2 linked regions of the Canis lupus familiaris genome follow. The protein of the gene in region 1 interacts with the protein of each later gene in a pairwise test. Links are inferred from orthologs where the notes say so. Each region holds a gene or a part of one and is shown on either strand. Other genes may lie near its edges. The genes, in order: RUVBL2 and DPCD.

Region 1 (16,158 bases):
TCCTGAATGGAAGATGTCAGGCAGGGGAGCTGGGTCCCTGAATGTCCGGGGTGGGGAGGGTAAGGGCTCAGAGTAGAGATGTCTGGCTGGCCCTGAGACACTGGCCTTGTCCCAGGGGTTGCTGCTGTGGCTGCTGCTGAGTGTGGGTGGGGTGTGGGCATCCAGGGGGCCATTGCGGCCGCTGTGCCGGCCCATCAACGCCACCCTGGCTGCTGAGAACGAAGCCTGCCCGGTCTGTATCACCTTCACCACCACCATCTGTGCCGGCTACTGCCCCAGCATGGTGAGCTTCAGGGGATGGTGGGGACCAGCCCTGCTGGACTGGGAACAACGGGTGCCACCTCAGCTTCAGGGTGGATTACTCAGGGCCAGGCCCACATCAGATGTAAAACAACAGCTGGGATGGAAGGATGGCCCACCCCCTGGGCAGGGGCTGGGGAATTGGAAGTCAAAGCTGGGCATGTGGGAGGAAGGGAGGGAGAGCACAGAGGGTCTGCTGGACACCTGAGTTTGAGACCTGGGGGGCGGCAGGAGAGCTCAGGGGAGGGCCTGACCACAGGCAGGTAGTCATGCCCCCCCATCCCTCTCCTGGCCTACAGGTACGAGTGCTGCCAGCCGCCCTGCCACCTGTGCCCCAGCCAGTGTGCACCTACCATGAGCTGCACTTTGCTTCCATCCGGCTCCCCGGATGCCCGCCTGGCGTGGACCCCATGGTCTCCTTCCCCGTGGCCCTCAGCTGTCGCTGTGGGCCCTGCCGTCTCAGCAACTCCGACTGTGGGGGTCCCAGAGCTCAATCCTTGGCCTGTGACCGCCCCCTGCTCCCGGGCCTCCTGTTCCTCTAAGGATCCCCTCCTGCCCCAACTCCTGGAGCCAGCAGATGCTCCTTCCCTCCCCTCCCAATAAAGGCTTCTCAAACTGCACTCAGGTTGTCTCTGTCAGGCTCAGGATGCATGTACGCATGTAGATGCACACACACACAGAATGGGTCTAGTTTTTCAGGGCATCTGGGTGGCTCAGTAGGTTGAGCATCTGATTCTTGATTTTGTCTCAGTTCATGATCTTGGGATCATGGGATCGAGCCCCACACTGGGCTTCACACTGGGCATCCTGGAGCCTCCCTAGGGTTCTCTCTTTCTCCCTCTCCCTCTGCCCTCCCCCTGCCATTCCCTTGAGCTCTAAAAAAAAAAAAAAAAAAAAAAAAAGAGAGAGAGAGAGAGAGAGAGAGAATGGGTCCAGTTTCAGAACCATTTTATACAAAGTTACAGCGTCAGAACTCTAGTAGAAAACAGGGCGTGGGGGGGGGGGAGGTGAAGGTGACATCAGCTCAGGAGGTGTCCATGGTTTCACCTTCTGTGGGGAGAAGGAAGGGGGGCCATGTGGTCAGTGTGGTCTCGAGGGAAGGGCCTGAGATATCCAGGCTACATATGGCCTGCCCCCCTGGGGTGGGTGACCCTGGGGACAGGTGCAGCAGAGGACACTCACTGAGCTCGTTGAAGAGAAAGGCATCCTGGTACTCCTTCATGTACTGCGTGGAGCGTGACTCGTCCAGAAAGAGCGAGTAGACCCGTTTGATGTCATCTACCTGTACTTCCGTGCCCTGATAGGGAAAGGCCAGATCTCAGTGGGGCCCCTCCCAGTGCGGCAGGTCAGGGTGAAGACCCCCGGGCCAGACTGCTTGGGCCTGAATCCTGCATCGGCCACCTCCCGGCTGAGGGTCCAACCCCTCCGGTCCTTAGTTTCTTCATCTGTAAGATGGACTTGACGGCATTAACTTTGAGATGAGAGACATCTATGAAGCACCTGCTATGTGTCAGGCGAGGAAATACAGGTATAAACTCCGCAGACCCAACTTCCCAGCCTTTGAAAACCTATGTTCTGGGGCTAAATGCAACAACGCCCTCCAAGCCCTTGGAGTGAGGAGTAGGTCACTCACTTGGGCGGGCCCCGGGGGTTACTGGGCTAGCTGACCTTGCGTTTCCGGCACACCAGGCTGGCAGCTGTGATAAGCTGGATGGCGTAGCGTAATGAGGTCTCCAGGCCGATGCGCGTCAGCACCGTGTAGGCGTCCTCACTCATTTCTACGTCTTCCTCTTCACACCTGTGGGCAGGTGGGGCGGGGTGGGGTGGGGTGGGGTGTGGTCAGCCAGGGCCAGGGCTCTGACTGCAGCAAACCCCTGGCTGGCGCTTCCCCCTGGGCGCTGTTGAAGTCCTGGGGGACATGTGGAGTCTATGTTCACAGAACCACAGAACGGCAAGCAAGAAGGGCCACTGAGGCATGGGCTGGACCTGTCACCTGGGCTTCCAACCCTCTCCAGCCAGGGCTCTTTCCCCAGTGTCAGCCACTGGCCCACCACCAGATCTGAGGCCATTGCTTGGTTGCCCAGCCCAGCCCAGCCCTACCTCCTGCAGGCCCAGAGACCTACCCCTTCAGACCTCACTGCCTCCACTTGCCAAATAGGGTGGGTGCCAGCCCTGCTTCTCAGACCCGTAGCCTGGTCCTGCCCCAGAACCCCAGGCGGCCCTGCCCATACCGGATGCGTAGGATCTGCTTTGTGTCCTTCTCACTGTAGGGAGAGGTGGAGACAATGAGCAGTCGGTCTAGTAGGTCGATGGGGATGCCATGGGGGCTCTGGTAGCTGGTACCCCGGATCCTGGGGAAGAGGAGAAAGGGAGGGTGGTCAGGGTGATGCTCCCAGAACCCAGGTCTCCATTTCCTCTACTTAAAATACCCCACCCACCCTCTCCATCACAGCCCACTCACTGGGCAAATATCACCTAACCTTCAGCTCATGGCTACTGTCATCACCAACTGTGCAGCTGTCCCCCAGCTGTGTCACCACCCCCGCCCACAGAAAACTGGGTTGGTCTGAGCTAGGTATCTATATCCAGGATTACTGAGTCAAGGTCTCACTCCTCTGCTTGACATAGAGCTCCACAGGTAAGAGACTGTGATGGTCCTATTCTGTGCTATTCGTGCTGCACCTGGCCCAGAGCAGGCCCTGGCACATGGCAGTGCCAGGAGAGAGTGGATTCTTGTAATTTGTGGTAGTGACATTCTATTAAGTGGGGGGGGGGGGGGGGGGCAGACACTCACTAGCAAATGATGAACCACTGCTTCTTGGAGATGTATGTGGTAGGTTCTTGTGAGCCTTTGGTCACAGTATTTTTGTCAACCAACCAATATATAACCTGGTTCTACGTGCTTCTGTTTAAAGACATCTTATTTAGCATACACTACTGACCCACTCGCATTGAACTCGTGGCAGACAGCACTCTACATCATGCCTGGAACGAAGCTCATCTGACACACACACTTTCTCTGTAAGGCACATCCATCCTCGCCTTGTGCCTGGGCAACTAGGGGGCCCTTTTAAATCCCAAATCATTAATAAAAAGCAGATAACACGGCATGAAAAGGACACTCAAAAAAAAAAAAAAAAAAAAAAAAAAAGAAAGAAAGAAAGAAAGAAAAGGACACTCATTTACAGCAGGTGAGCTGTAACCAGAAAGCAGGCAGGGCGCCAACTTGCTGGACCTTAGATTAGAGGGTCCACACCCAGTCACACAGGAGCACCAGAGTTGCCAGCACTGATGGGGGGGGGGGGGTAGGGGAGAGGGGCTTACAAATCCATTTAAGTGAGAGTACGTAGTAGACTCAAGAATACATTTTATGCAGATAACAGAGGAGCGACTTGGGTTTGTGCCCTGGCCCAGGATGTGCCCCGCGTGCAGCTGCCATACATTTACCCTCAGCTGGCCCCTTCCTATCTTCGTTAGGAGAGGCAACTCTGGCTCTGACACCTTCTCCATGCAACCTCAGGCACGTCACCAGGCCTTGCTATCCTCTGTAACGTGGGGCTGAGACAATATCCACCTCCTGAACTTCTTTTAAGGGTCAGAGCTGTTCACCCAGGAAACAAGCCACAGAAAATCTGCCCCTTTGTCCTCTGTAATGATGGCCACCCTCTACCGACCAGTTTTAGCTGCCACATGGCCACAGCACTGGAGAAGACATTCCTCAGCTTCCAGAGCAGCCAGGGTGGTGCTGGGCAGTGGGTGACGGTGGAAGTGCTAAGTGCACCCTCCAGGCCCCAGCTTCCCAGGGGAGCTGTTTACCACCCACTTCCTTCTCCCTGTCCACCAAAATACAGATGAGGCAGAGAAGAAGACCAGCTGGGACAACAGGACGAGAGGTGCTGGCAACACCCTAGGGCACAGATTCCCAGAACCAGGTGAGCTCCATGGCTCTAAAATTTTCCCCCGGCATTCTTAGGCCAAAAGCAATATTAAGTTTTGTTCTATAAGGTCGTTAGGGCTAAATGACCTAACTGTAGTGATGCAGGCAGTGTCAAACACATCTGTCTCTGTGCATCCCTCAGAAACTCAAAACATGGGACGCCTAGGTGGCTCAGCGGTTTGGCATCTGCCTTCGGTTCAGGGCGTGATCCTGGAGGCCAAGGATCGAGTCCCACATCAGGCTCCCTACATGGAGCCTGCTTCTCCCTCTGCCTGTGTCTCTGCCTCTGTGTCTCTCATGAATAAATAAATAAAATCATTAAAAAAAGAAAGAAGAAAGAAGAAAGAAAAGAAAAGAAAAGAAAAAAGAAAAGAAAGAAAAGAAAGAAAAGAAAAGAAAAGAAAAGAAAAGAAAAGAAAAGAAAAGAAAAGAAAACTCAGAACATCCCAGAGCACTCATGTGTTTTCAGCAGCATCCTGGCATGCCTTGGCACACAGTTTGGGAACTTGAGCCTCAAGGGCTACAGGAACTAAAATACAGAAAGAACATGATCCTCAACTTCCTGATGGAGCAGAACTGCCTGCCTACCGCCCTGAGCACCCGCCTGCTTTGTTTTAGGGAGAAGCTAAAAGACAAACTTTGTCTAGGCCCCCGTACATGGATAGCCTTGTGACACCAGCTAAGTCCATACCCTTCCTGACAGGGAACTCAACAAACATTCCCTGTTTACCCTGTGCCCATACCCACTACCTGGAGCACCCTGTTTCTCCCAGAGACCTCTGGGGAGGCCAGCAGCTGGCTCACCGGGTGATGCCTCGGTTGGTGGCCATGATGAGGACGGGCGCCATGTCACTCTCCAGGGCCCGATTGAGGAAGGAGAAGCTCTCAATGTCCAGCATGTGGACCTCGTCGATAAACAGCACCTGGGAGCCATTGGGGCATGTGTCAAACCTACCCAAGCCTCTTTCCTCCCATTTGCTCTCACTGTGAGCCGCCTGCCCTGGCCACACCCTGGTACTCACGCCAGGGATGATCTCAGCCTTGCCCTCCTCACGCCACTCGGCCACCTTGGCATTGATCTGCTCTCGGACTTCTGACTTGATCTCCCCTGTGTCGCCTGAAGGAGGTGGGGGTGACACAGGGAGTGTCAGAGAGGAGACAGGGACAGAGGGCCGGAGAGTGGACAGAGAGAAATGAAGATGGGACACCAGGGATAGAGGGAAGAGAGATCAAAACTGGAGTGGCAAAGTGACAGAAGGAGTGTCTCATTCGGTCTGCAATGTCCCAGAGAAGAAGACCCGAGGCAAAGAACCCAGGAAGAAGAGAGGGTAGGACATGCAAGCCCCCATTGGGACTATCCAAGAGGGAATGAGGGCAACAGTGTGGGTAGGACGAACCAGGGGGCTGTACTGGAGGTAGGAGGAGCAGTGTGTGCCATGAACAGAGCCAGCCTGCTGGGCCTCACCTGAGAAGAGAGCCAGGAAGCCCTGGGTGCGGGAGTTGATGACATCAATCTCATGCAGGGACACGGTGTGTACGACCTCCTTGCGTTTCTGGAGCTCTCCGTCTGGACACTGCACAAACTTGGTCTATGGGGCCAGGGGGCAGGGAGGGAGAGGTAAGAGTAAAGAAGAACATGAAAGGGGGCCCAAAGGGGCTGTCTGGGTGGAGAGTTGGGGGAGATTGGACTTCCTGGGGTAGAGCTAAGAATCCAGAAATCCCAGGTCCAAGAGGAAGTTACCACCAGGGCACTCGAGAGCACTGAAGGATCGGAGGTTACTGGAGGACCTCAGAAACCATGAGCAAACTGCAAAGATGAAGTGCCCTCCTTGTCCTGGTGGGTACAGGGAAGAACCAGGAGTAAGGGACATGGGGTGGGGCTACTGGAGGATCCGGACCCTCTGGGCCATGGGGGTGATAGAGGAGATGCAAACATCCTGGTGCCTGGAGTGAGCGGACCCCCAAAGCCCTGGCCCACCTGGGAGCCCATGGCATCATAGTCGCGAGCGCGTGTGAAGGAGCGGCCCAGCTTGGAGATCTTGCCTGTGGCCTTGTCGATGGTAATCACATCCCTGCATGTGGAGGAGGGTGGGAGTGAGGACATGAAAGGGCTCGAGATTCCCCCACCCTGACCACCTACCATGGCCCCCTGCCACTCACCCAGCCTGGACCTTGTCCTTAGTCAGGGACTCAATCATCTTGGTGCCCAGGTCGTATATAGTCTCCATCTCTGTGGTCTTGAGGGTCAGCTTGCCGACCTTAGAGCCCTGAGATGGGTGACAGGCCAGCCAAGGAGTTCAGAGGGGGCCCATTGTCTCCCCAACACAGCTTGGAAATGGGCATGACACAGGGATGCTTTAGGGGGCAATGGACTGTGGATATGTCAAAACTTAACATCCTATAAACTCTTTTAAAAATTATTTATTTATTTATTTATTTGAGGGAGGGAGAGGCACTGGTGGGGCTCAGTGGTTGAGAATCTATCTGCCTTTGGCTCAGGTCATGATCTCCAGGTCCTGGGATCAAGTCTACATCAGGCTCCCCACAGGGAACTTGCTTCTCCCTCTGCCTATGTCTCTGCCTTGCTCTCTGTGTCTCTCATGAATAAATTTAAAACATCTTAAAAAAAAAAAAAAAAAAAAAAGAGTGAGAGACGGGCAGCAGGGAGGAAGCGAGGAAGAATCTGACACAGACTCTGCACTGAGTGCAGAGACCAACGCAGTACTCAATCCCATGACCATGAAATCGTGAGATCATGACCTGAGATGAAACCAAGCTTCAGGGATGCCTGAGTGGCTTAATGGTTGAGTGTTTGCCTTTGGCTCAGGTCGTGATCCCAGGGTCCTAGGATTGAGTCCCACATTGGGCTCCCTGCATGGAGTCCGCTTCTCCCTCTGCCTGTGTCTCTGCCTCTCTCTCTCTCTGTGTCTCCCATGAATAAATAAATAAAATCTTTATTTAAAAAAATAAATAAATAAATAAAAGAAAAGAAACCAAGCGTCAGACGCACTACCAAGCCACCCTGGTGCCCCAACATCCTGTACTTTCACTGTGTGCAGCTTATTGTTTGTTGGTTGCTCAACAAACCGATTACTAAAAACCCAGGAAGATAACAAACAACAACTTACCTAAAAGATAAAGTCTTTAAGAACAGCAACATGGACTAGAGGGCCCTGATGTGGGGAGGTGGGAGTGTGCCACACTCTAACATTCCTTGTTTTATGTCCACGTAACTTGTGTTTTTTTTTTTTTTTTATTAGTCACAAACCCAGAAAACAGAGCTAAGCTAAACACAGCTAAGAAAACAAAAATACCACACTTTCTCCCCACAAAATAAGCACAGTCAGTGTCTTCCAGCACATCCACTTGTCTCTTATTTCTAGTGAGCTGTTCTTTTTGTAGGGAAAGATGGCAGGACAAAAGGGCTGGAATTCAGGAGGAAGAGAGAGATGGTTTTGGTTTTACATTTTTATTTTATTATATTTTAAAGATTTATCGATTTATTTACATAATCTTTACATCAGAGGCACCCGGGTGGCTCACTTGGTTAAGCATCTGACTTTGGCTCAGGTCATGATCCCGGAGTCCTGGGATCAAGCCCCAGCTCTGGCTCCCTGCTCAGCAGGAAATCTGCCTCTCCCTCTCCCTGTGCCCCCACTTATGCTCTCTATTAAAAAAAAAGAAAAGAAAAAAGAAATCTTAAAAATGGGCAATCTTGACTAATGCATGGGAATGCATTGCTGGGTGATAAAACCAATGACACCCAAGAAGTGAAAACAGGCAAGGGCAGCCACCCTTGTGAGGATGTGGGGTGTTGTAGAAAGAGCAATGAGGTAGGGATGGGAGCTGGCAAAGTTCTTTTTTTTTTTTTTTTCTTCAAAGTTCTAATTTCTTATCTTGGTGGTAGTTCTAAGGAGATTTGTTTTATAATAACATACTAGACCATTCGCTTATTTTACGTGCTTCTTTACATCTGTTGCAATTTACAACAAAAATGTTGGGGCATTTGGGTGGCTCCGTGGTCGAGCATCTATCTGCCTGTGGCTCAGGTTGTGATCCCAGGGTCCTGGGATCGAGTACCGCATCAGGTTCCCTGTGAGAAGCCTGCTTCTCCCTCTCCCTATGTCTCTGCCTCTCTCTCTCTGTGTCTCTCATGAATAAATAAATCTTAAAAAAAAAAAAAAAAAAGTTAAAATTCTTAGCTGAAAAAAAAAAAAAGGGAGCAAATCACCATGACCATGTAAGCTGGATAGGAAACACCTTTTAGGGCTAAGCTGCATAAAATCTCACAGAACAGGTTCTTAAGCCTAACCATTAACTGTGAGATGAACACTAGGTGTTTACCATGACATGTTGGCAAACTGAATTTAAATTATTTTATTTAAGATAAATTTTAAAAAAGAAAAAGAAAGAAAGAACGAACTGTGAGAGGGACACCTGGCTGGCTCAGTGAGAACAGCATGCAACTCTTGATCTTGGGGTCATGAGTTTGAGCCCCGCATGTTGTAGGCAGAGATGATTTAAATAAATAAAAGTTAAAAAAAAAATTTAAGTGTGAGGAACTTCCAGACCTTCTCTGTCATGACACCACTTGCTTTTAACGGCTCAGGGCGTCACTCACAAGTGGATAAACTGGGGCGCCTGGGTGGCTCAGTGGTTTAGCGCCACCTTCAGCCCAGGGCGTGATCCTGGAGACCCAGGATCGAGTCCCGTGTCAGGCTCCCTGCATGGAGCCTGCTTCTCCCTCTGCCTGTGTCTCTGCCTCTCTCTCTCTGTGTCTCTCATGAATAAATAAATAAAATCTTAAAAAAAAAAAGTGGATAAACTGTCAATGACCCCCACAGTACACAGTAGAGGGCTCTGACCTGCAGCTCAAACATCCAACATCCCTTGGGTTCTGGCACCCCATCCTCCAGCCCTGGAGGTGGCCCAGGCTCAGCAGCAGACTCACCGTCCCTGTGGCTGGACGGTCAATCTGGATCTCCACCACTTCCCCTTCAATGATCTCAGTCTCCTCCCTAGGCGGAAAACGGATGTGAGCAGAGAGCCCGAGGCCCAGGCCCTTGCAAATGGCTAACTCCCATGAGCCCTTAGGCATGGGACAAGCCGGACAGGGCAGGCAGGGGTCATCCCAAGGCCACTGCAAGCTAACTCCATCCCCCACACCGGGTCCTGTGCTTACTTGATTCGAACGCCAATAGAGCGCCGGAAGGCCTGGGTCAGTGCCTCTGTCTTACTCATCTCCAGCGAGAAGATCTCACTGCCCGCGATGGCTGTGAACGGGGTGTCAGGGCCCAGGGCCTGTGCCATGCCTGGGGAAGAGGTGGTCTGGGTAAGTGGGGACAGCCTGGCACCAGGTCCCCAACACCTATTCTGTGTCAAACCAGCTCTTCTCCCTCCTCAGGAAGTAGCGTAGGTGAAATACACACAGTGTTGGGGGCAGACAGGGAGACATGGAGAAAGCCAGGGATGGCGGGCTACATAGAAGACCTGGACTCGAACCCCATGCTGACCAGAAGGTCAATTTCATGACCCTATAACCTCGCCAGGGCTTTAGAAGTTGTTTAGCCTTTTAGGCTTGGGGGTAATGAGCAGGAATCAAGGCCAAAAGAGGACTGAAAGAGTAGTTAAGGGTGGTGGCTCTAGAGCCAGACCACCTAGGTTCGAATCCCGGTTCCACCGCTTAGCACCATGTGATCCTGAGAAGTCTTGTCTGTTTGTATCTCTGTATAATGAGGACCACAACAGAACAAGTGCTGGTGTGGGACCGCACCTGCAGAGAAGCGATCTGGGGGTGGCAGGCATGCACTGGTGCTCAACCATGAACCCATCACATGACCTGTAACCAGCCCAGGGACAGGTCTTCTGTCTGGCCTGGGGCTGGCCGGCAGACACCGGGGCTGACCTTGCAGTCACTCTAAGCACCACGTCAAGTCTCACAGACAGGAAGTCACTGGACCCTTCTGACCAGTAAGAGGTGGAAATTCTTCCTGGTCCCCTTTCCAGACATGTGCCACACTCTTGCCTGGATAGCCCCGTCCCATATTGCGTGTCCAGAAGACTCCCAGACACCCTGCAAGTCTTAGCTCAGGGCCTGACTTCTCTGGGAAGTCTCTCCTGACAACTGCCATATCACATCCCTCCCTGCTCCCTCATGTCATGTTAATGTCCCATAGTGTCGCAGCAGAATGTAACCATATGATTAAGTTCTAGTCAATAAGATATAAGAAAAAGTATGGGGCAGATATAAGAAAAAGTATGGCTCAGCAGTTTAGTGCCACATTCAGCCCAGGGCCTGATCCTGGAGACTTGGGATCAAGTCCCGCGTCAAGCTCCCTGCATGGAGCCTGCTTCTCCCTCTGCCTGTGTCTCTGCCTCTCTCTCTCTCTCTGTGTCTCTCATGAATGAATAAATAAAGAATCTTAAAAAAAAAAAAAAAAAAAAATTATGTGGGGGTCCCAAGACAGCTGCTTAACGGGAGCTAACTACTTTTAAAGGTAGGGAGGTACACCCTCACTGCAAGATCTCTTTCTCCTTCCTCCTACATGGGAGTATGGATGGGAAGGCCTGTGCTCACTTCGGCAACACATATACTAAAAAATGGACAGGAAGGCCGAAGCTTAGGCAACCCTCTTGGAACATGAGGTGACTCTGCCATAAAAGTACAGAGGAGGGATCCCTGGGTGGCACAGCGGTTTGGCGCCTGCCTTTGGCCCAGGGCGTGATCCTGGAGATCCGGGATCGAATCCCACATCGGGGTCCCGGTGCATGGAGCCTGCTTCTCCCTCTGCCTATGTCTCTGCCTCTCTCTCTCTCTCTCTGTGACTATCATAAATAAATTAATTAATTAATTAAAAAAAAAAAAAAAGTACAGAGGATATTGAGGTAGAAAGGTGAATACTTGATGGAACAGCTCAACAAGCCCTAAGTGGCTTATGTTCAGATTCTTCTATGTGACAGAATGAAGCAGAGCATTTAAGTCTCTGCCATTTTGGGCTGTCTGTTGAATGTGGCCGAACCCAACCTTGATTTACACAGAAAGGATTAACTGGCAGGGACCAGAAGAGCTCCTGCCCTGAGAGGCCTCTTACCCATGGCGATAGCCGTCTTCCCAGTGCCCGGCTGGCCAGCGATGAGCACAGCCCGCCCAGCGATCTTCCCTTCCCGGATCATCTCCAGCACAACACCAGCTGCCCGCCGGGCTGCCAGCTGCCCCACCATGCCCTGGGAAGCCTGTAGAGTGGGAGGTGAGAGCACACCATGTGACTTCCTACTGGACTGCCACCCCCATTTCTACCACCTCCAGACCAGTGAGACGAAAGGGCACGATGCTGGTTAGGGCCTGGGAAAAGCAAAAAAAGCCTTTTCCACCCCAAATTTTTAGGACTAATAAAACTCTACATGTGGCTAAATTTTATAGATATGTAGCCAAAGGTCTGGGAGATCCTAACATGCCCAGGGACCCTGGGAACCCTGTACATCCATGGATCAGCCTTCCCAGCCCACTGCCCTCAGTTCTACCTGCCGTGGCTCCAAGGCATCATCCAGTCCCAGTCCCCGGATGTGGGAGTGCGCACCTGTGGGGGGACGGGGGAGAGGGGGTGGAGGAGGAAGAACCAGAAGACACGTTTACCAGCCAGCTCGTGATAATGTGTGGCCTGAGGAAAGGGGCAGCTTCTCTCAGCCCTGGCTTCCTCCTTGGTCAAATGAGGGGGGGTGGGTCCATGTCTCTACGTTACTGGGAGAATAGCTAGTGGGGGTAAATGCTCAATAAGCTGGAGCTGCCCTTAGGATACAGCAGAGGGAACCAGAATCACCCAGATCTGGTTAACCACATCAGATCAGGATCTAACCGTGACCACTAACAATCACAAACACTTTATGTTTATAGCCTAAGTGGCCCCACAGATTCTTATTTTGTGCCACGTGACCCTGAGAAACAGGAGTCCCAGCTATTACCACCCAGGAGTGCTTCTGGGGTTCAAAAAACTCCTCAGGCCCTCATCAACACAAATTCGAGAAGGGAGACCAGAGAGGTCAGGCCCCTTGCCCAAGACCACACAGCCCAGCAAGAGGTAAAGACGTGGGATTTCAATGTTTCACAATGGACTAGGGCTGGGCAAATGATAGCCTATGGCTCAGTCGCTTGTTTTTGTAAATAAAGCTTTATTGGAACACAGCCACACCCCCTAACTTACTTACTGCCTGTGGCTGCTTTCACACTGCAATGGGAGAACTGATGATTTTTCTACAGAAGAGATTTACTGTCTGGCCCTTTGAGAAAAGATTCGCTGACCCCAGCACTAGATTTTAAGCATCCTGAGGGCTGGTACTGGGAGTAGCTGGTGTCTACTGGGTCTTTTGATAGCTGAAACCGTGTTGGCCCTTGCATGCTGAGGGTTTTTTATCGATGACCTGATGGAATCTTGTATCAATACTGATGAGGTGAACACCTTTGCTCCATTTTGTAGATAAGGACTCCAGGGCAGAGAGCAACTAGCCTCTTGCAGCAAAAGTGGTCCCCAGCACCGGGCCTCCAGAACCCACGTTGCTAGCCTCTTTACTTCTGGGCCTCCCTTATAGGCAGAGTGAACAAATGTGCACAAAGGAGTATAGTTTCCTTTTCCATGCAGGTAAAGCTCTTTGCGGAGGCTGCACTCTGTTGGCCTACTACACCCCAACTTCGTACTCCTAGATTTATGGCCTACTCTGCACATTGAGCCAGGACCAGTGGTTTGACTGCTCTGAGTCAAAGTTTCCTCCATTAAATAAAATACAGGAGAGCAGTCACAATGCACATCTGCTGGGATGGCTGTGAGAACCTGGCAGGACATGAACTCATGCATTTGCTGGTTATCTGTTGAGCGCCTGCTCTGCTGGGGCCCCTGCTAGGGACACAGCCAGAAACAGGCCAGACCTGGTCCCTGCCCTCATGGAGCTAATGCCAGTGTGCGCTGAGGGCATGGGACATTCAGTTCTAGGCCAAGCCCAGTAGGCACTCAGCAAGCAGACACTTTTATGATTTCCAAGCAAAATGCTAGGACACCCAGGAGCCTAACTGGGGTAGCCAAGCCAGCAGAAGTGCGGCCTGGGTTGCATCTCAGGTTGCAGCCTAGCAAGGTCCTCCATGTGCCATCTGAGCCCACTCTGGCACTCAGCCCTATCTCCCCCCATCAGAGAGGGGGATGCGATGGCCCCTGGGCTGGTTGGCTCTGTGGGGTGCAGGCAGGCTCTAGACCCTGCTCACTCACCAATACGCTCAATTCTTGTCACATCTCGGATCTCTGGGACCTTGGTTGTGGCCGTCTGGGGATAGAGGAAGACATATCAGAAAAGCCCTTATGATCCCAGTTTTCACCAACTCCTCTGTCCCTCCTGCCCACATCCCTAGAGGCAGTCCTTTCCATTCTTATTCCCCACAGGCAGGCCAATAACCCAAACAACTGTCACTCCCACCCTTCTTACTTGTCACCACTAACGCTGGTTGGTTGACCCCAGTCAACAGTGTCCCAGAAAGACAAGGACCGTGTCTGTCTCGTTCACAGCACTGTCCCCAGGGCCTAGCACATTATTTGGAGCCCAGAAATTATTTCTGAAGGAAGCAGCTCTCCCCACTCCCATGACTGGAAGGACAAACACCCAATGCAGAGCAGCAAACTGGTCCCTGATTGCCCAGCCCCCTTGTACCACATTGCCTGAATCTGTCACTAGGCCCTTGCACACCCATGTCCCAGAGTCCAGCCTGCTCTCCTCACTTCCCTCACTGAATCAGATCTAGTGACGCTCACGAAGGAAGGCCCCCCAACCACTGCCCCGGCCTGACTCCTTCCAGGGTCTCTGGAGGTCTGGACAGAACAAAAGGTCTCCCTTGGGAGCCCAATCTCCCTGTGTAATCTCACATTTAGAAGGGAGACTATCAGCTCAATATTATCGGCTCTGGTGGATGTGAGTCCCACGAAGGGCACAGCCCACACCTTGCTTGTTCACTTGGGGTTCAATGTTAGGGTTTGGATGAATGATGTACTGAAGTGTTGAGCTGATATAACAAGCAGGTACTGAGCCCTCTGGTGTTCTCAGCTCTCTGAAAAAAGGAGCCAGCCACCATCTCTTCTCATATAGGGGAGAGAGATGAGTAAGTACCCCCAGGACAGTTCGAGAATCCCCAAGTGTTCACAGTGGCATTATTCACAAGAGCCAGAAGGTGGGAAAACCCAAAATATCCATCAATGAATGAATGGATAAACCAAACGTGGTATGTAAACACTTGGAATATTGTTCAGCCATAAAAAGAAAGTTCCAACATATGCTGTAGTGTGGATGAACCTTGAAAACATACAAAGTGAAAGAAGCCAGACACTTAAGATCACATATGGCATGATTTCACTTATATGAAACATGCAGGATAAGTGAATTCATAGACTGGAAGTACATTGGTGGTGACCTAGGGCCACGGGGTCTGAGAGGACTGGGGGATGATGGCCAAGAGCTACAGGGTTTCCCTCTCAGGAGGATAAAGATGTCCTGGAGGTGTTAGTGTACAATTGTGAACATACTAAAAGCTGCTGAACTATACATTTTAAATGGGTAAATTGTAGGGTGGCTGGGTGGCTCAGTGGTTGAGCATCTGCCTTTGGCTCAAGTCCTGATCCTGGGGTCCTGGGATTGAGTCCTGCACTGGGCTCCCTGCAGGCAGCCTGCTTCTCCTTCTGCCTAGGTCTCTGCCTGTCTGTCTTTCATGAATAAATAAATAAAATCTTTACAATAAATAAATACATGGGTAAATTATATGGTATGTGAATTATATCTCACTAAGGCTGTTAAAAATCTGGGTGGTGTGGGGATCCCTGGGTGGCTCAGCGGTTTAGCGCCTGCCTGTGGCCCAGGGCCTGATCTTGGAGTCCCACATCGGGCTCCCTGCATGGAGCCTACTTCTCCCTCTGCTTGTGTCTCTGCCTCTCTCTCTCTCTCTGTGTCTCTCATGAATAAATAAATAAAATATTTTTTAAAAAATTAAGAAATCTGGGTGGTGGGTCCTAGGCTGTATTGTTTGCTGGCACTGGAGTATCTGATGATTTCTTTCTTTTCTAAGTTTTATTTATTTAAGTAATCTCTATATCCAACATGGGGCTCGAACTCAGGACCCCAAGATTAAGAGTCACCTGCTCCAGTGACTTAACCAAGCGCCCCTCACACTTTCTAGTAAGGAAAGGAAAGCCTAAGAAGCCAGCCTGCTGACCCAGTCCCTTGGCCACCTGCCCCCAACCACAGGTCTCTCTTCCACCAGGAGAGGAGATGTAGACATCCAACCCACTGGAAGCCTCCAGTCTCTGGAGCTTAGACCATGGCCGCCACATGGTCACAAGCTTCCCTCCCACCTACCCTCTCCTCATAGAAGGCTGGAACCAAGACCAACAGACACTGGCCCCAAACACTAGCAGAAGAATCAGAACAGGGGTGTCTGGGTGGCTCAGTGGGTTAAGTGTCTGCCTTTGGCTCAAGTCATGATCCTCAGGTCCTGGGATCAAACCGTGCATCAGGCTTCCTGCTCAGAGGGGACTCTGCTTCTTCCTCTCCCACCTCCCACCCCCGCTTCACTCTCTCTCTCTCTCTCTCCCATAAAATCTTAAAAAAAAAAAAAAGACTCAGAACTCACCCTCACATATCACGACACATCCTACCAGACCCTACTTGTGGCAATAAATGGGCATGGGTCCAGAAATCTTAACCCTTAGCAATCCCACACAAACAGACCTGCCTCCTACAAGGCCTTCCTTTGCACCAGAAGCCTCTCCTATGCTGTGCTACTCACTGACCCCATGGTAGCAGAGGCCATTTTATTTTATTAAGATTTTTTGACAGAGAAAGCGCGCACGTGCTTGCACTTGAGCACACAAGCAGAGGGAATAGGAGTGGGAAAAGCA
Region 2 (16,772 bases), on another chromosome or scaffold:
CCCTCAACAGGCAGGCATTTCCCTGCCAGCCTGCCCCTCCCCTCCTCCAGGCAACCTTCTCTGACTCCCTCAGCACTGTTGGTGGCACACAAGTCACCATTTGGTTGTTCCTAAGGAGTCACCTTTGTTTATGTCCCAACAGCCTGATCTAGGACAGGACCCACAAGAAATGCTGATGGGGACACAGGCGCTCCTAATGCCTGACTCCATGGATTCTCCCTCTCCTCCACCCACCCCCACCCCCTTCTGAGCTCAGGAGCTGATTCAGTCTGGCCCTGTCTAAAGAGCAGTTGACTTGCCTTTCTGGACTCCCATTCAGCTCCCATCTCCATCCCTGCACGGATGGAAGAAGGCAGGCAGGGACTACAGCAGCTCAGACACCAGGAAGTCTGAATGTCAAGTGCACTTTATTGGGCTCCTGGGCCTTCAAATGCTGTCCTTACCAAGCCGGGGTCACCCCCGCCCCACAGCTCCAGCTGCACAGGAAGCAGGCCGGGTAGAGGAAGTACATGGGGAAATGCTTTCTCTGGCTCCAAAGGGTCTTAGGTGATGCTCCACCACAGCTGTTTGCCCCTTCCCTGCAGCCCTCATCCCACCCCCAGCAGTCAGAGCCTCCTTGGGTAGGGAAGTAGGGGTGTCTGGGCCTTCAGCACAGGAAGCTGGCTTCACACCAACACCTGTTCTTGCTTAAAATGGGGGCAGGAGGCCTTGTACAAAACTCTAGCAGGGGGCAACGATGAGGTAGAAGGATGGCAGTTTTCTCCTGTGGAGAGGGAGCCAGGCTGGCCCTTTCCCTCAGGCCCAGGTGGCTGAAGTAGTGAGGTTCAGCTTGCTGAGGCTGGCCAAGTACTGGATGGCCACGTGGGGCAGCTGGTCCAGCTTGGCGTCCCCTCCCCTCCAGCCACGGGTCACCAGTCCCGCTCTACTGGTTCTCGGTAGGGTAGGCCTAAAAGCCTGAAGACATCTTTCTCAGTGGGGGTGGGCAGCACTCGGCCAGGCCCCACCTTGAGGCCTTGGGTGTCCCGAACCACAGAGGTGCTGAGGGCATGCTCTGACAAGCTCATGCCCTTGGTCTTGGCCAGGGCCCGCATGGAGCGGTTGAAGTGGGCAGAGCCAGTGAAGTAGAGCAGGGCACAGGCGAACTCGCTGTAGGGCACAATGATGATGTCCAGCCGTCGGTGCCGCCGCCCTGGCCCTGGGAGCCGGCACACACCCAGGTACTTCTGCTGCTGGCCGTTCTCCTCCTGACTCACCAGGTCATCTGTCAGAAACCCTAGCACGACATCGGAAGGCTGCTAGGAGGGTAGAGAGCCAGGCCTGGGTTGCCCTGTCCTCCCAGGTCTCTCCTGTTTATCCCTAGGTCCTCCATTCCCAGTTCATGAATTTCATTACTGGGTGGCTTTGCCCTCTCTGGGCCTGCCTCTTTAAACCACGCATAGTCATTCCTCCCCGTGTCCCCTACAGTGTCGTAGACAGGTGAGGTGAAACTCAATCTGCAGGCAGTATTGAGCACCTGACTGGAGGAGTGGTGGACTGTTTCATCTCTTCCCTGAAATGGCTCTGGCCACGAGGGAGAGGTGGCATTCTCATGAAGCAGCCTTCCCCTGCTTCCTGCTTAGAGCTTGCAACTCCGAGGCTCTCCCTCCTGGGAGTTAGTTACCCAGCCCCGCATTGCCCCGGCCAGCCTGCTCACCCAGAGATGGAGCTTATACCTTGTCGCCGAAGGCTGTCAAGGAGACGACTGAAGATGCCCTGGTGAGACTGGCCATCCGGGTGAGTAAGCAGCACGTCCACATCACCACAGGTTGCCTTCCCCCGTCGGTAAGAACCGCATGCCACACATAGCAGCCCGGGGTTGAAGGCCTGAGCTGATTTCCGGACCTGGGGAAGAGCAGGGGGCAGTGGGGAGGGCCTGTGGACCTCAAGCCCTGTAAGGAGTGCCTTCCCATGGCAGTACAAGAGACTTCCCTGACCCAGGAGCCCATACTTCCAGCTGATACCCTAAGCCAATCCCTGGATTTGAGACACAACCCTGAGGGAAAGCCTCAAGGAGCAGATGCCAGAGGTCTACCCTGGGGAATGGCAGTTCTCCAGCTTTGCTAGGACAGAAGAGAAGAAAATGTGCTCTCACCACCAGACTCAGCCTGAAGAGAGATCTAAGAGGTGTATACTCAGATTCTGATGGAAGGCACTGATCTTTTCTTCTAGAGCTCTTTAAGAGCAGAGAGACACACCTTCTTTTGGCCCTTGCCCCAACCCATGTGCCCAGGTCTGTCCACTTAGGACAAAGCACAAGGTGCCCGTCTGCCAGGTCTCAGCAGCCCCAGGTATAGATTTGGAGCTAAAGGCAGAGTATGTGAGTTGGGGCTTGAGGCCTGAGCAGGTGGCTAGCAGGGTGCCCTGGCCCAGGCCTAGGGGGAAATGGAGCACAGGAATACAACTGTACCTATAGTAAAGGAAAAGAAAAAAAGCAAAGAGGAGGCAATTCTGAGCTAGTGCTCACACTCTTACTTGGAAGAAGGAGGCTCGGCATGGAGAGGGAGCCAAGAAAGAGGGGGCTGTCAGCAGAAGGATCATCCTCACTGAAGGAACTAAGCCCATTAGCCTCTGCCCCAGAGACACGGAAGCCTTTCATATGCAGATGGCCTCCACGCCTCTACCCCAGGACACTGAGGATTTCTGGGACCCTGGATACTTTGGCCAGGACACCTCAATTCTCCTGACAGGCCAGGCTCTTCTAATCCCCTCACTCCCTTCTTGAGCCTCCCTACAGGCTGGGAGGAGACCTAGGATGAGTAATCCCATCAAAAACTCCTAAAGCTGGAGCCCTTAAATGCCAGGTGGCAAGCCACCACTGTTCCAATGGGCTGGGGGCTGGAGGCTCACTGGGACATTCTCCGTGCCTGGACACCGTGGCTGAGTGACGGTGTCATCACTAGCACTGAGGCCTCGTGATGGGTGGACAAAAGAGCCTGTCCATCCATCCTGCACCAGCCTCATAGTCCAGTAGCCTGAATAGAGTTGGAGGCTGATTTCAACTAAGGTGGGCCAGGAACTCTATAGAATCCTACCTTATCAAAACCTGATCCCAAAGTAGCAGATCTTGCCCACAGCCACCAGCCCCTAATCCTGATACCAACTGAACAAATGATATATCTAACCCCAAATACATCCTAGTTTCTAATCTAGGTTTTTGATGAATTTAATCCCTAACCCAACTCTAACCTAATGTTGGCCAAATCTTATTTTTAGGACAATGACAAATCTTAACTAAAAGCAATACTAAGAAAACCCTACTCTTAATTTGGGCCTAACATTAATTCAATTCAACCTAGCTTTCCTCTGACCCCAAACCTGATTGTACTGGCACACTGTCTCTATACCAATTCTAACCCAAACTCTGAACCAGCCTCAGGTTGTGGGGAGTAAGGGAGGGTCCTGTGGAAGGTGTGTATGTCTGGAGATAGGAAACTTTGTACAAATTTTGGAGACAAAGGGTCCATAGTTTTCATTGGGTTCTCAGAAAAGTTTGTGAATCAAAGAACACTAAGAACCTCTGCCCTAACCTACTCTGACCTAACCCAGTTCAAACCCCAATATCCTAAAGTAGATCTGACCATAATCCATCTCTAATCCAGCCCTAACATTAACCCAGTCCTAACAGAATTCCAGGATCTAAGCCAATGCTTACTGACCCTAACCTAGACGCCTGGTGTTACAGCACTTCCTACTAAAGCCACCCACCCCTCCAGCTTCAGTTTCAATTGGTCCTTTCCCCACTGGTCTCAACCGCTGGTGTCCCACAGCTTCCTCTGCCTGGCTCCCCAGCTGAGGGGTCACGTGTTCTTGGCTTCCAGCCAGGCCCTGACCTTATACCAAGGCCTGGCTCTCCTTACTGTCTGCTCAATCTCTGTAGCCTCCTCCCGGGGTATGCGTTCCAGGAAGTCATCATAATGCTTCAGACCAATGGCCTGCTGGGTAGTCAGGGAGGCCTGGTTGCGGATGTCTTCTAGGGTCCGGTAACCCTGGAAAAAGAAACCAGATGAGGAGGCTATGAGCAGCTAGAACCAATGGAGAGGCAGTGAATGAGCACATACACAAGGCTTCCATCACCCCCAGATTCCAAGGAAGGCCTGAAGAAGGACCAACCCCAGGAGTGGTTGCATTTGTAATCAGTGGGACCCAAGAGGAGTAGGAAGCATGGGAGACACATCCCAATCCAGCCCTGCCACAACACTAAAATACTGGCTCATAAGTCCATCAGTCTGAGAGATTCTGGGCATCACCAGGTTGGGGAAACCACTGATCTGGACACATAGCCCTGAGGCCTGGTCTTCTTAGGAAGGCCCTTACTAGTCAGGGGGAGAGAAAAACACACTTCTTGTCTCTCTGCTTCTATCACAAATTAATGTCTTGGGGCTATCAGACAACAGGGCAGGTCTGGGAGCCTGGAGAGGGGTCTCCATGAGCCCTAGTCCCCCTCCTGGTTCATTCCCATCAGAGCACAGGGTACAAGAACTGTGGGGCAGGACCTCTAAGAAAGAGCAAAACTAAGGTGGGTGCTGGGACATAGTGTGACCTGTTGGTACCACATCTGGGCAGTTTTGGTTCCGGCTCCCCAGATGTTGGAGAAGAGCTCCAAGATAGGCACACTCTCACTGATATGGTCCAGCTTCCGCAGATGCCCGCTCTCCAGGATTTCTACGATTTTCTCGGCCATCCGCTTTCCAATCCCGGGGATACCGAAGGCCTCCTGGGGGAGGAGGAGGCAGAGGCAGGAAAAGAAGAGTGAGAGGATGGGAGGTGTACAGCCAGTGGTGGGTTAGCAGACTCCTTTAGCACGTATCTGAATAAAAGCCAGCTTGGTCAGTTGGCAACTGATGGCTGTGTAAAGCCTGGGCACAAGTGAAGATGAGAAGATTGGATGGGCTGGGCTGGGTCACTTGTCTTTTGGCTCTCAGAGGGATGGGGGTCAGCACGGGAAGCAGAGAAAAGACAGCAGTGTGACACTAGTCACCAACATCATGGTAACAACAAGGTGGGGGAGGCCTTTCTGAGCCAGGTCCTGCACTGCAGGGAGCATCACATTTGGTCCTCCCAGGAGTACCTGAGTCCCTCACTAATCTTAGTTCCTTTTCATTGCTCAAACAGTTTAAGTAACTTGCCTAGAATCACACAGTGAATGATGGGAACCAGAATTCAAACCGTGGTCTATTGGCCTCCAGCGTCTAACCTTTATAAAAACCTTTTACTATGGAAAAAAATCCACAGTAGAGAACAATATAATGAACCCCCAAGTACCTGTCACAGCTTCTATAATTATCAAGGTTCTGTCAATCTGCTTTTATCCATCTCCCTGTTTTATTTCTTTTGTGCAAGTCTCAGACATCATAAAACTTAAGCCCTCCCCACCTCCTCCCCACTTGTGACTGATGCCTCCACCAACCTCCAGCCAGTAAACAGAGAGCACCCCATCTCCCTGCATCCCCGCCCTGGCCCGCAGGTACCTGGTAGGAGGTGACAGGCTTGTGAAAGCTCTTGAGGGCATTGATGGCCTTGGCATAGCCCAGGGCCCTCCACTTGTCTCCTTGAACACTGTAGGCTTTGGCTAGCACTTCTAGCTTCTCTGTGATGTGAGGGTTGTGGTTGACTGCCTTCTGGCTCGAAGGTTGTGCACAGACCCACTTATCCAGGCCCTTAGGGGCTGGGCGAGGGTCATCATCTCCCTCAGGGTGGGTGGAGTAGTGGCCACTGATAAGGGCTTCGAGGTCAGCTGCGCTAACCTGGGTCTCTTCCCCATCACTGGTTTCAGCATCAGAGCCAAGCTTGAGGTAGGGAAAGAGAAGAGATGATAAATTCATGCCCCTGGCCCCCAGAAGAACTCTTCAAAGGTGGGGCTGAGTCTTCTAGTCAGACTCAGGAATGAGGCTGGGTCTCTTGATTCAGACCTGGGTCTCCTTAACTGTGGGGCCATGTTCCTTTAGGCTTCCCCCAGTGCCCAGCCCTAGAAGCCCCTAAATGGTAGGTGTGCCTGGGCAAATGCAGGCATGATGAGTGCTGGGAAGAGCCAAATGACTTCGCAATAGAGATCCTTCCTCTTTTAGGGGCCTGGGATTTTCTGAACAACCACCAGGCCCTCCCTGTTCCTGTGACCTAGTTTCCAGGGGAAGGGAGCTCTGAGGGCTGGGAGGCTCCTGACCTGAGCTTGGGTGCTCGGGGCCTCCTCTGTCCTCTGGGGAGGAGATACAGGCCTGGTGGCAGAACGAGGAGGAGTGAGAGCTGTCTTGAGCAGAGCCTCATGGGATCCTGGAGGAGCAGAAAATTCTTGGTCTGCCTTGCTGAGCTGTGGTTGGAGCCCTGGGTACCTGCAGGGATGGTGATGGCAAGTTAAGACCCCAAAGGCCTGGCTCTACCCCTGCTCCCAATCTTCTACTCTGAAATCTTGTTTTTTCTGATTAAAACAATAAAAGTTATTTTTAATAACCCAAGAAGAGAGTTCAAGATGCTGCCAGGAAACACTTGAGGAAGGATTGGGGTGGGGGGAGGTAGCTCACCTGCTGGGGATGCAGATGCTGAATCCTGCCGTGTCCACCAGCCTTCCTTCCTGCAGGCACAGGCTCAGCCAGGTGGACTTCACCAGCTGAGCACCCTGGGGCAGCTGGGACAGTCCGACGAGGCGGAGGGCTCGCTCACCGTCCATGCCTTCATCCACCACGATGTGAGTGAGCCCTGAGGCATGGGCAGCACATATCTGGCCACCATGCTGGATAATCTGCTTCTCAAAGAGTTCTGCTCGGGCTCGCCCAATGCCACTGGGCACAACATGTGCCCGCAGGGAGCTCAGCCACTCTGTGCAGGGGACATCCAGATGCTTATTGTCATGACTGATGGATATGATTCAAATGAACCCAAACAATCGTTTTCCTTCCATCCAGACAGCCAGCCTTCTGGGGATTCAGCCGCAAGCATACACTTAATTTCCCCATGAACCCTCACTTGATGTAAGGGGCAAGGATTTCAGTATGTCCTGTTCCCTCATGTAAACTAGAACAGTGCCTAGCATATTGTAGGTATCCTGCATATGGATTCATTTGATCATCTTTACATTCAAGTATTAAGAGACATCTACGTCACACAAGGCATAAGGCCATATGTCTTGCCATTACAGGCCTCACAGTGTAACAGATATTCCCCTCCCCCACCCTGCCACATGAGGTGTTGTCATTTATTTGTCAACTTGGCTGCAAAATAATGTAACTCTGGGGACCTGAGTTTCCCACCTTCAGGCAACCTCCTGGAGAGCAAAGGAATCTGCTGGTCATTTCCTTAGGGGCCAGAGAGTATTTTCTGATTAACAGAGGTCTAGGGATGGGTTAGAAAATAACACAGCCAAGTGGCCTGGCAAAGACTGGGGCCCAAGCCTGGTACAACAGATACACAAACCAACCTGCAGGCCATGGGTTGGCAGAAATCAGCTCTACTATCTGATTCTAGTCATGAACAATATAGGAAGCCTAGGGGTTCAAGTACATGAGGGCTCTGAGGGTGGATCTGCTCACCTCTTTCTTCTTCTCCACCTTCTTGCTTGGGAATCTTTGCAAGTGCTTTTGATGATGGATTGGCATGAATTTTCCTCCTTTTGGGAAATGCCTTCAAGATGCCCCCAGGGTCCATTGGGGTATTGGCCAAATCACGGCCTTTCAGTTTTAGGTTTGATCGGGCCAACTGTCATGTGGAAACCCAGAACTGAGGTTACCCAACCCTTTGCCTATGGAGGTGCTGTCTCTAACAACCGGACTTTGGAGGCAGTACCTCAGTTCCCCTAGGGGTCTCCCAAAACCCAGCTGAGCTTCAGCAATTTAGCCTAGCACTTACCAGCCTTTCAAAGTCAGAATACTGGGGGATATAAAGGGAAGAATGGGACTATTGAGGAACTCTGGAGGGGTACAAAATGATACTCCTCAGATGGTTGCTCTAAAGAGTCAGTGTAGTGTCTGCTCTGCAGCATCCCACTTTGAAAGGGCTTTACCAAAAGGGGATGCCAGGCTAGGAAATGGAGCTACATCTTTAGAAAGGGCTTGGGCTCCCAAGAGGATTGACGGACTTAGATGAATCTGCATTTAAATCCCACATGATCTTCCTCTACCCCATCACAGGCCCGCAGAGGAAACCCTCGGGGTGAGGGTGTCCGGGGGGCGGGGGAACGCCCTACACCTGCCCTGGTGGTGGGCCTCTAGTTCGGGGGAGCTCAGCCCCGCAGCTGCGGGGAGACGGGGCATGGCCACAGCAGGTGTTAGGGCGCCTTCCGAGGCTGGGGGGAGTCTCGGCCTCACAGCTGGGGGTGGAGACGACCCGCAGCTGTGGGGTCCCCGCCGCGTCCCCAGCTGGCGCGCACCCAGGGACTCCCAGCTGGGGGCCAGAGGAGGGCTGGAGGGTCTGGACCCTGCCCTAAGGACCGCTCCCCCCGCCGCGATTGGGTCCGCGGTGGTCGGACCCCGCGGCTCACCCGCGAGCCGGCCGGAGTAAACCACTTACCAGAGCAGCCAATGAGAGCGGACGAAGGGCGTGGCGGGTGGGAAAAGGGTGGGGGGAGGGAGGCCAAATGCCCGGAACACCTTCCGGGTCGGCCGGAAGTGACCGTAGGCGGAATGGTTGCCATGGCAGCGGCCGGTCGCGCGGCTGGCTGGAGGGAAGATGGCGGTAACCGGCTGGTTGGAGTGTCTGCGGACCGCCGAGAAGACGGCGCTGCTGCAGGACGGTAACTCGAGGCCCCCCACGAACTCCCTAGTCCTTTCCCCCAGGGCCCAGCCCTTCGGACTGGGGCCTCCGCGAAGGGCCTTCGAGCCTGGGACGGCCGAGCTGAAAGGGCCGCGGCTGCCAGACGAGGCCCGGTCCTGCTTTGGCAGATGAGGAAACTGAGGCCCAGAGCGATGACGTGACTGGAACACGCGCCTCTGGACACCTCCTAGTTCCCTCTACACCACTTCGCCCCGCTCTGAGTTCTGTTACTAATAAAAACTCCTTTCATATTCGTTATGTTATTTGCTCCAGACAGCTGTCCCAAGCAGCTCTTTAATTTCCACCCCATTTTACGGGAAGAGGAAACTGAAATTGAAGAGGGTTTTAGACCAGCCCTAGCCCGTTGTCCACTCGGTAGGGTTCTGTTGCTGAATGCAGCCTGGTGTCATTGAAGAGGTGGGGAGACCTGGGCCCTAGTTACTACTCTGCCATTAAATCACAGCTTCTTTATTTGCTTGGGCCTTATTTTCCTCGTCTGTAAAATGAGCTGGATGGGCAATCTCTGATGTCCTTTCCAGCTGTCATATGTTTGTAAGTGAACTTCTAAATATTCCCTGGGATCTATAGGGAAAAACAGCAAGGGCCCCAGCGCTGTGCCTGGGAAAGGTGGGCATAGGGGTAAGGAGTCCTGATTTTGTCTCACTCTAGGATTGGCGGGTGTAGGACCCCCCATTGCCGCAGAAGTCCTTTCCTGGACGCACTTGGCAGCCAGATGAATTAGGTCTAAATTCATGTAGCTTGAGGATACCAGCTGGAAGCACACATCCATCCATCCACCGGAGGAGGCCAATCAGGGAAGCTTGGAAATTAATATCACCTGCTCATTTGCTCGTTCATTCACGCAGCATTTAGGGAGGCTTTTACTATGTGCTAGGTTGTGTATTAGAGCAGAGAATGAAAAAAAGATATGTAAATAAATGTGTGTTAAGTAGACGTTGGGATTTTCTGTAAAGTGTATGAGAGCACGAAGATGGAAATGATCATCTCTTTGAAAGAAGACCTGACAGAAGAGGTAAAGTTTATGGGTCCTAAGGAATTAATGTGTTTGCTAAGTGTAGAAGAGGAGATGGCTGTTCTAGAAGGAATGACTCACATGTAAAAAAAAAAAAAAAAAAAAAAAAGGGCATGGAGGTGTGAAAGTATATGGCTGATTACTAGGGGAAAACAAAACATTTAGTGAGGCTGAAACAGTAACAGTCACCTAGCCATAACCCCCCACACTGTCAGGTACCAGGTGCTAGGATGCAAGGTGAATAAAAGTTCTCTTTTCTCAAGGAGCAGTGAGGAGAAATGGTGGGAAATGAAGGATTTTAAATAAATTGGGTATGTTGTGATAGACCTTTTATGCCAAGCTAAAGATTTTGGACATTATTTTCATAGGACAGTGGTGTCTGGTTTTATTATAAGAAATAGATAATATAGAATTTACCATTTTAATGATACAGTTCTGTGGCATGAAGTATATTCATATTGTTGTGCAACCATCACCACCATCCATCTCCAGCACTGGATCTCTTCAACTGAAACTCTGTACCTGTTAACACTAATTCCCCCATTCCCAGCCTCTGGCAACTACCATTCCACTTTCTGTCTTTATGGAATTGATTATAGCAGGAACCTCATGTAAGTGGAGACATACAATATTTGTCCTTTTGTGACTGGCATATTTCACTTAGCAACCACTTATTTCAACGCCCATCTATGTTGCATGTATCAAAGCTAAATAACATTCCACTGTATGTATGCATATGCCACATTGTATTTATCCATTCATCTGTTGATGGACAGATGCTTCCACTTGTTTAGCTATTGTGAGTAGTACTGGACTGAACATGGGGGTACAAGTATTCGAGTTCTTGCTTTCACTTCCTTTGGTCACAGGACAGTTCTTAACAAATATTACATCATCTAGGATTTTGTTAGGTTTTTTTGTTAGTAGCATCCACAACAATGCTGTTGGTCTTTTTTTCCCCCAAGTCAAATAATAATAATTAATGTTAAGTATATGGATTGGATACATCTTGTCAAACCTCTCCTATAGATTTACTTTCCTGTTGGGTATGTGGAGAATATTACCTCCCTCTCACAAAAAAAATCACTGCTATTGGTAGTGAGAACCCAATACTCTTGAATTTTTTTTCAGGAAGAATTGATGCTCATTATGGAAATATGAAAAATAACTAAAGTCACCTATCAACTACCATCTAGAGATAATCATAATTTACATTTTTTAAAAGATTTTATTTATTAGAGAGTGAGCAAGACTGGCAGAGGCAGAGGGAGAAGCAGACTCCCTGCTGAGCAGAGCGCCAGATGTGGGGCTCAATCCCAGGATCCTGGAATCATGACCTGAGCCAAAGGCAGATGTTCAACAAACTGAGCCACCTAGGCACCACCATAATTTACATTTTCATGCATAAACTTTCATATTTCTTCATGCATGTACAGTCATATATATATTTTTTTACCAAAGTATACTAATAAAATTATGTGTGTGTATATATATATACACACACATACACATATATAGCTATAAAGTAAATATGTGATAGAATAAAATACAGATAATTACAACTCCTGGGTAGTAACCACAAAAGAAAAACCAGTTGACTGTATAACAAGCAATTATTTGGGAAAGCCCACTTCAAATAAAGTTAAAAGGCAATTGAAACAATATTTGCAACATATAAAACACATGGTTAATATACATAAAGCTCAATCAGATTAGTAAAAAAAGAAGATGAATACCCAAATAAACTAAGGTCTAAATAGGTAATTCACTATAAACAATAAACCCTTGGAACAGTGTTCAGCCTTACAGATATTTAAAGCTATGCACATTATCCCAGTATGATTATTAGAGTATGGGTTTTGGCCTCAAATGAGCTTAAATCTAGGTCTGTCATTTCATAGCTTTATGAGCTTGGACAAGCTACATGACCTGTAAGCCTCCATTTTCCTCATTTGTGAAATACAGGTAATGGGGTCACATTGGATTATTGTGAGAATTAAATACAATAAAACATGTAAAATGCTAGGCCAATAGTAAGCACTGCATCCTTCCAGAACTCAATATGGACTCCAGTGGGAGAGGAGGTTCAGGCCAGAAACCTTCAGCTGCTCATAGGCAGCACTTTTTACCCCACTCCTGACAGGAAAACCCCTTCCAGCTCTATGAGCCATCCAAATGATTTGGAGTGGTATACCTAGGGACGTGCTGAGAAGCTCTACAAATTTGGGGCATGAGTTTCCCCAGCATACAAATTAAGAATGACTCAAGGGAACTATGTCCAGGAGAGTGAATTAAATGGGAAAATGGCTTGGGAGATCAGATCCAGTTGCAGATTTTAGGTAGTGACTCCTTTAACTGCTCAGGGTCCTTGGGACTCTTATTCATCAAGTATAGGTTGGGTAGCTGCACCCTGTTATTCGGCTCACTGAGGAGCCTACCTGTGTCAACTCACCCATTTGTAAAAATAGGGAAAATTACATAGTCACTTAAAAAATAATTATGCTATATAGGTGGAATTATAGCTATATAGATGGAAGGCTAGGAGACTCCCCTGGATTCTTGCAGGGGATTCTTGTGAAAGTTGAATCAGTGTTCATTCTCTCAATTAATATTTAGTTGAGCTCCTAATATGTGCCAGGTACTGTGCTTAGTGTTAGGGAAACCAAACCATAAAAGTGGGATAAAAACCCTCCTATAAAGACAGGCAGTAATCAATGTATATAAATCATACTGAGGCAAATGCTGTAAAGAAAATGTAAGAGGACTAACATGTGGCTGTGTGCTAGGAATGGCTTAGAGGCATGCAGAAGGCACAGCAATGGTGTGTCTAGAAGGAGTGCTTGGTCAGGAAACCCAGTTCAATATCCTGACCACATAGGCTTGGTTTTAGGAACTGAGGATAGAAAGCTAAATATGGCACCGTTCCTAGGGAGACAAGATGCTCTTAAAAAAAGTATCATACTATGTGATAAATACTCCACTATGGATATGAATAAAGCAGTAGGGAGATCCAAACGAATACAGAAGTGATGAATTTTGCCAAGGTGGCTAAAGAATTCTCAGTGGACTGACATTTGAGCTGGATTTTGAAGGGCAAGGAGTTCAGCAGGAGAATGGAGCTTTGCTGGTAGAGGGAACAGCAGAGCAAAGACCCCATTTAGAGAAAGCTGCATAAAAGAAAGGTGTCCCAGGGCATGTCTTACAGTGATGGTGGCAGTAGTTGGCAAGGAGCTCATGGGCAGCTCTGGGAGGGTTTCTTGTGCTCAAGTCCAAGGCTGTTGGTGTTTCCCAGGAAAATCCCTTGATGTGCAAGTTGCAAGGTAAGAAGAGGCTTGAGGGTAAGGCACTCTCTGCTTTGTGTGTAGGAAGAAGGAAGGTGCACTATTTGTTCCCAGATGGAAAGGAAATGGCCGAAGAATATGATGAGAAGACGGGTGAACTACTTGGTGAGTGACAGGGCCTCCCAAAGGCCCTGAGGAACACTTGGGGTAACCTAAAGCACAGGTAAGCAATTCCAGCCTTAGGCTTGAGGGAGGAATGAGCACCAAAGGTGGAAGCCAGGGAAGACTGAGGCCCTCAAGGCAAGATTGTTCCTGAGAATAATGTGAGGTTAGAGCTGGACACTGGAGGTAAGTTCCACCTGACCCCCAGACAAATGAGAGTGTGAGGAAGTCTTCTGTAGGGAAACTGTCGGGAAAGAACTGTAGACAGAAGGCAGAATTGGAAGTGATCCTCTCTGCCAGGCACAGTGAATGGAGGTAAGGGCAGGCTTTAACTGCAGTTGTATTGCTCGTTTTCTAAAGCCACAGCAGGAGCAAGCAAGCAGCAGCAGCAGCCAGTACTGACCTGGCCTCAGAGGGGGCGCTGTTAAATCTGACCCTTGGAAAATGTCTGAATCAAAGTGGATTGGGGGTAAAAATGGGGATTTTGCAAGATGGTTATTTTCATTCCTACAGCTCTTTTCCTCTAAGACTAGGCTCGTGAATAAGGGGTCCAGCTCAGATTTCTGAGAATTCCTTGATTTGTCCATCCTCTGTACCTAGGTATGCATATCAGCATTAACAGACTTCCCAGAGCTAGGTGGCTGCTGCTTTGACCCAGGGTCGGAGGCTGTCAGCAGTGGGAGTTGGTCTCTTTATTAAGTTCCACCTGAAATGCTAAATCCAATGGTGGAATCATGGGTTGGGTTATTTTCTTGTCATTATTCTTGACTTTAATTTCTTCCTGTGCCTGATCGACAGGTAGTATTGGCAAGGGAATTTTCTTTTTCCCTTTTTCTGACAGCTCATAAATGTCTAGAACCGACAACACGGATTACACTGGTTTGCATTTTCTTAGTCTCCAGTCTTAAAATGTGTGTCCTGCGCATGTTCAGTCGTAGAGTGAAGTGTTGATCCCTCCTTATTATGAGCTGCTTGGGCTCCAGTCCCAATTGGTTTAGTCTGGTGCTATTAAAAATCTTGATGTGTTTAGCATATGACACTGATTTGGTGGAAACCAATACAGTAGTAATATCCTCACAATGCATTGTAATTTATAGCGCTCCCAGGGGGTGACAGCCTTGGAATGCCTAACAGGGGCGAGCTTATGAAAGCAGAGGTCACGTGAGCTAACCACCACCATTGCCAGGCTAGAGACTAGCTGCAGTTCCTCCCTGCAGCTCCCAGCACCACACCTCTCCTCCACTCAGAGCAAATAAAATGCCTGTAGCTGCTGTGGCCATAAAAACAAGCAAACAAATAACTCCTGGCCTCTTAGTTGTGCTTGGACGTGAAATTAAAATGAAAAACAAGTTCAGGTACCTTCCTCTGTAGCATCCCACATTAACCTGTCACTCTTCTCAGCAGATGGGGAGTAGACAATCGCCTACAAACTCCTTTTTTCTTAGAAGCTGAAATGGAGATTCATAGGAGAACACTGGCTAAAGTTTACCTAATAATGATATTAATGTCATAACTTTTATTAAGGTACTATGCTAAGTGCTTTACATGAGTTACCTCACTGAATCATCCTCATTACAGCCCAATGAGGTAGGTACTGTTGTGCCCTTTTACAGTCGGGGAAAAAACAGAAGCTCTAAGAGGTTAAGCACCTTGCTCAGAATTCCATAGCTGGTTAGTTTCTGAGTTAGGATTTAAGCCTAAGTTTGCCTGGTTAAGAGCCCATGCTTTAATGCACAACAACATACTATTGGGAGTTGAGAATATTTAATCCTGCCTTCTTACTAAGTTTTGTTCTCCCCAGAATGACTGAAGCAGGGGCTGGTGGGAGCAAGACAGAGATGGGCAGAAGGAGCACCCCACTCAAACCACTGGGCCCTTTGAACAGCTGAACCTTCTCTTACTCATGTTCAACCACTCACCCTACCCCCGCCAACTGCCCTTGCAAAATTATTATTTATGTATAAACAGTCTCAGGGCCCGAACTAGAGCTTGAGCACTCTATGAAGTAAAATACGGACAGGGTTATTATGGCCATAAATGAGAATTAAGTTTCCATTTTTCCAGTTCACTATACAACTTTGGTAATTCTCTAAACTGGTTTTCTGTTAGAAAAACCCAGAAAATAATTTGCCAGTGGTGCATCTGGGTAGGACAGAGTCCTTCCAGTTGGTGTTAACAAGCATAGTGGTGTCATATTTTTTTCAACCGTCTCAGTGCTATTCATTCCCACCCCGCACAATGAATGCTGTATGTAGTCATAGAGGAAAAACCTGAAGGGCCCCATAACAATGATCGGAACATCAAACCAGCCCCAGAAGAACACAGCATGTCCAGGGGGGCAGAGGCTGAAGGGCAGGCCATCCCCCAGCGATTACATTTGGATTACTGGCTTAATCTGCTTTGGTATTTGACCGCCAGCCTAACCACCCCAGGCTGCATTTGGAGGATATTGAGCACTTTCATCCCTAAGCACTTCACTGGCTTTATAAATGACCCACTCGATTCCCTTCAGCCTCCTCAGGGATGGGACGTGGCAGCTGTTTAATAGCCACAGAGCAATGTTGCAGTGTTTTAGGGCAGAAAAGAAGAATCCTGCATCCAGTTTAAGCTGCAGGGAGTATTTAGGAAAGGGGAATGTAATTATCCGCATTGGAAGCAGGCCAAGGCTTGGAGCTTTGGGGAAAGAGGCCTTTAGGACCTCCACTTTCCAGCCCACCTGAAAGATGGGCCTTCCTTTAAGCAGTCTAGGACATCAGCCTGCTTCCTGCTGACTTAGGAAAAAAGCCCCCAGGCACTGCCTCCTTCATATATTCCTCATCAGACCCTTTAGGGTCATTGAAAGTCTCCTTTCCAAGGACTGGCCCTGGCTCAGCTGGGAAGAAAAGACAGCGTCCCAGGGAGCTACCCTACACACACTAGTTTGAGTTTAACATATAATCAAATCAGAGTGACAGCAGGTGGAAACAGTCCTCTGTTGCCACAGGAACTGTCCTTGAGTTCAGGAGCAAAGACAGGATGAGAAATACAAGACGAAGTGTATTTGCACGTGTGCATTCGAGCTTGTATACATGGAGAAAATAACAAGGACTTCACCAAAACTGTTTATTGGATCTTATAAGGGAATAAGTAGGGAGACTTTCTTCTACATTCTACCAAAGAATTTAATCCCAAGGTGTTTAAAAAGAAAGAAAGCAAGCAAGAAAGCGGTGAAACAGCCAGAAGGCTGGCCTCCAGTTAAGCGAGGTATTACATGAATAGATTTGGATATACTCCCTGGTCACAGTCCATTCACTTAAGAGAGTAGAAATATTTGTGAAAAAAAAAAAAGTTGCCTATAAAGCATATTTCCAAGTTTTACTCTTCCTTATTAATTTTCATTATAAACTTGGAAATGTGTTTCTAGGGAGAATTTTTGGCCCTAAGACGTAATAAAATCACACTGCAGAATGCAGCAGACCTTATAAAAGCACATATTCAAGGGAAAATTCTAATTTTATAGCACACTTTTGTGTTCAGCT

What was found.
Region 2: the proteins of RUVBL2 (region 1) and DPCD interact in binary tests that used the Homo sapiens proteins (3 or more experiments, as listed by UniProt). The two-hybrid records come from large-scale screens. The link is inferred for Canis lupus familiaris from reciprocal best matches to the Homo sapiens genes RUVBL2 and DPCD.

The regions. Positions count from the first base shown.
Region 1 is NC_049222.1:108,057,290-108,073,447, forward strand, and holds the end of RUVBL2 (ruvB-like 2), read right to left. Parts: intron 13,544-16,158; coding exon 13,489-13,543; intron 11,815-13,488; coding exon 11,759-11,814; intron 11,471-11,758; coding exon 11,329-11,470; intron 9,550-11,328; coding exon 9,420-9,549; intron 9,256-9,419; coding exon 9,189-9,255; intron 6,505-9,188; coding exon 6,398-6,504; intron 6,310-6,397; coding exon 6,216-6,309; intron 5,827-6,215; coding exon 5,703-5,826; intron 5,355-5,702; coding exon 5,260-5,354; intron 5,161-5,259; coding exon 5,042-5,160; intron 2,652-5,041; coding exon 2,532-2,651; intron 2,099-2,531; coding exon 1,969-2,098; intron 1,598-1,968; coding exon 1,483-1,597; intron 1,351-1,482; coding exon 1,325-1,350; 3' UTR 1,232-1,324; downstream 1-1,231. Other genes in the region: LHB (lutropin subunit beta precursor), read left to right, coding at 116-283, 600-842. UniProt on the Homo sapiens protein: Possesses single-stranded DNA-stimulated ATPase and ATP-dependent DNA helicase (5' to 3') activity; hexamerization is thought to be critical for ATP hydrolysis and adjacent subunits in the ring-like structure contribute to the ATPase activity.
Region 2 is NC_049249.1:14,379,227-14,395,998, forward strand, and holds the start of DPCD (protein DPCD), read left to right. Parts: upstream 1-8,614; 5' UTR 8,615-8,694; coding exon 8,695-8,758; intron 8,759-13,176; coding exon 13,177-13,257; intron 13,258-16,772. Other genes in the region: POLL (DNA polymerase lambda), read right to left, coding at 909-1,273, 1,713-1,881, 3,897-4,025, 4,580-4,753, 5,508-5,825, 6,200-6,365, 6,555-6,849, 7,560-7,674. UniProt on the Homo sapiens protein: May play a role in the formation or function of ciliated cells.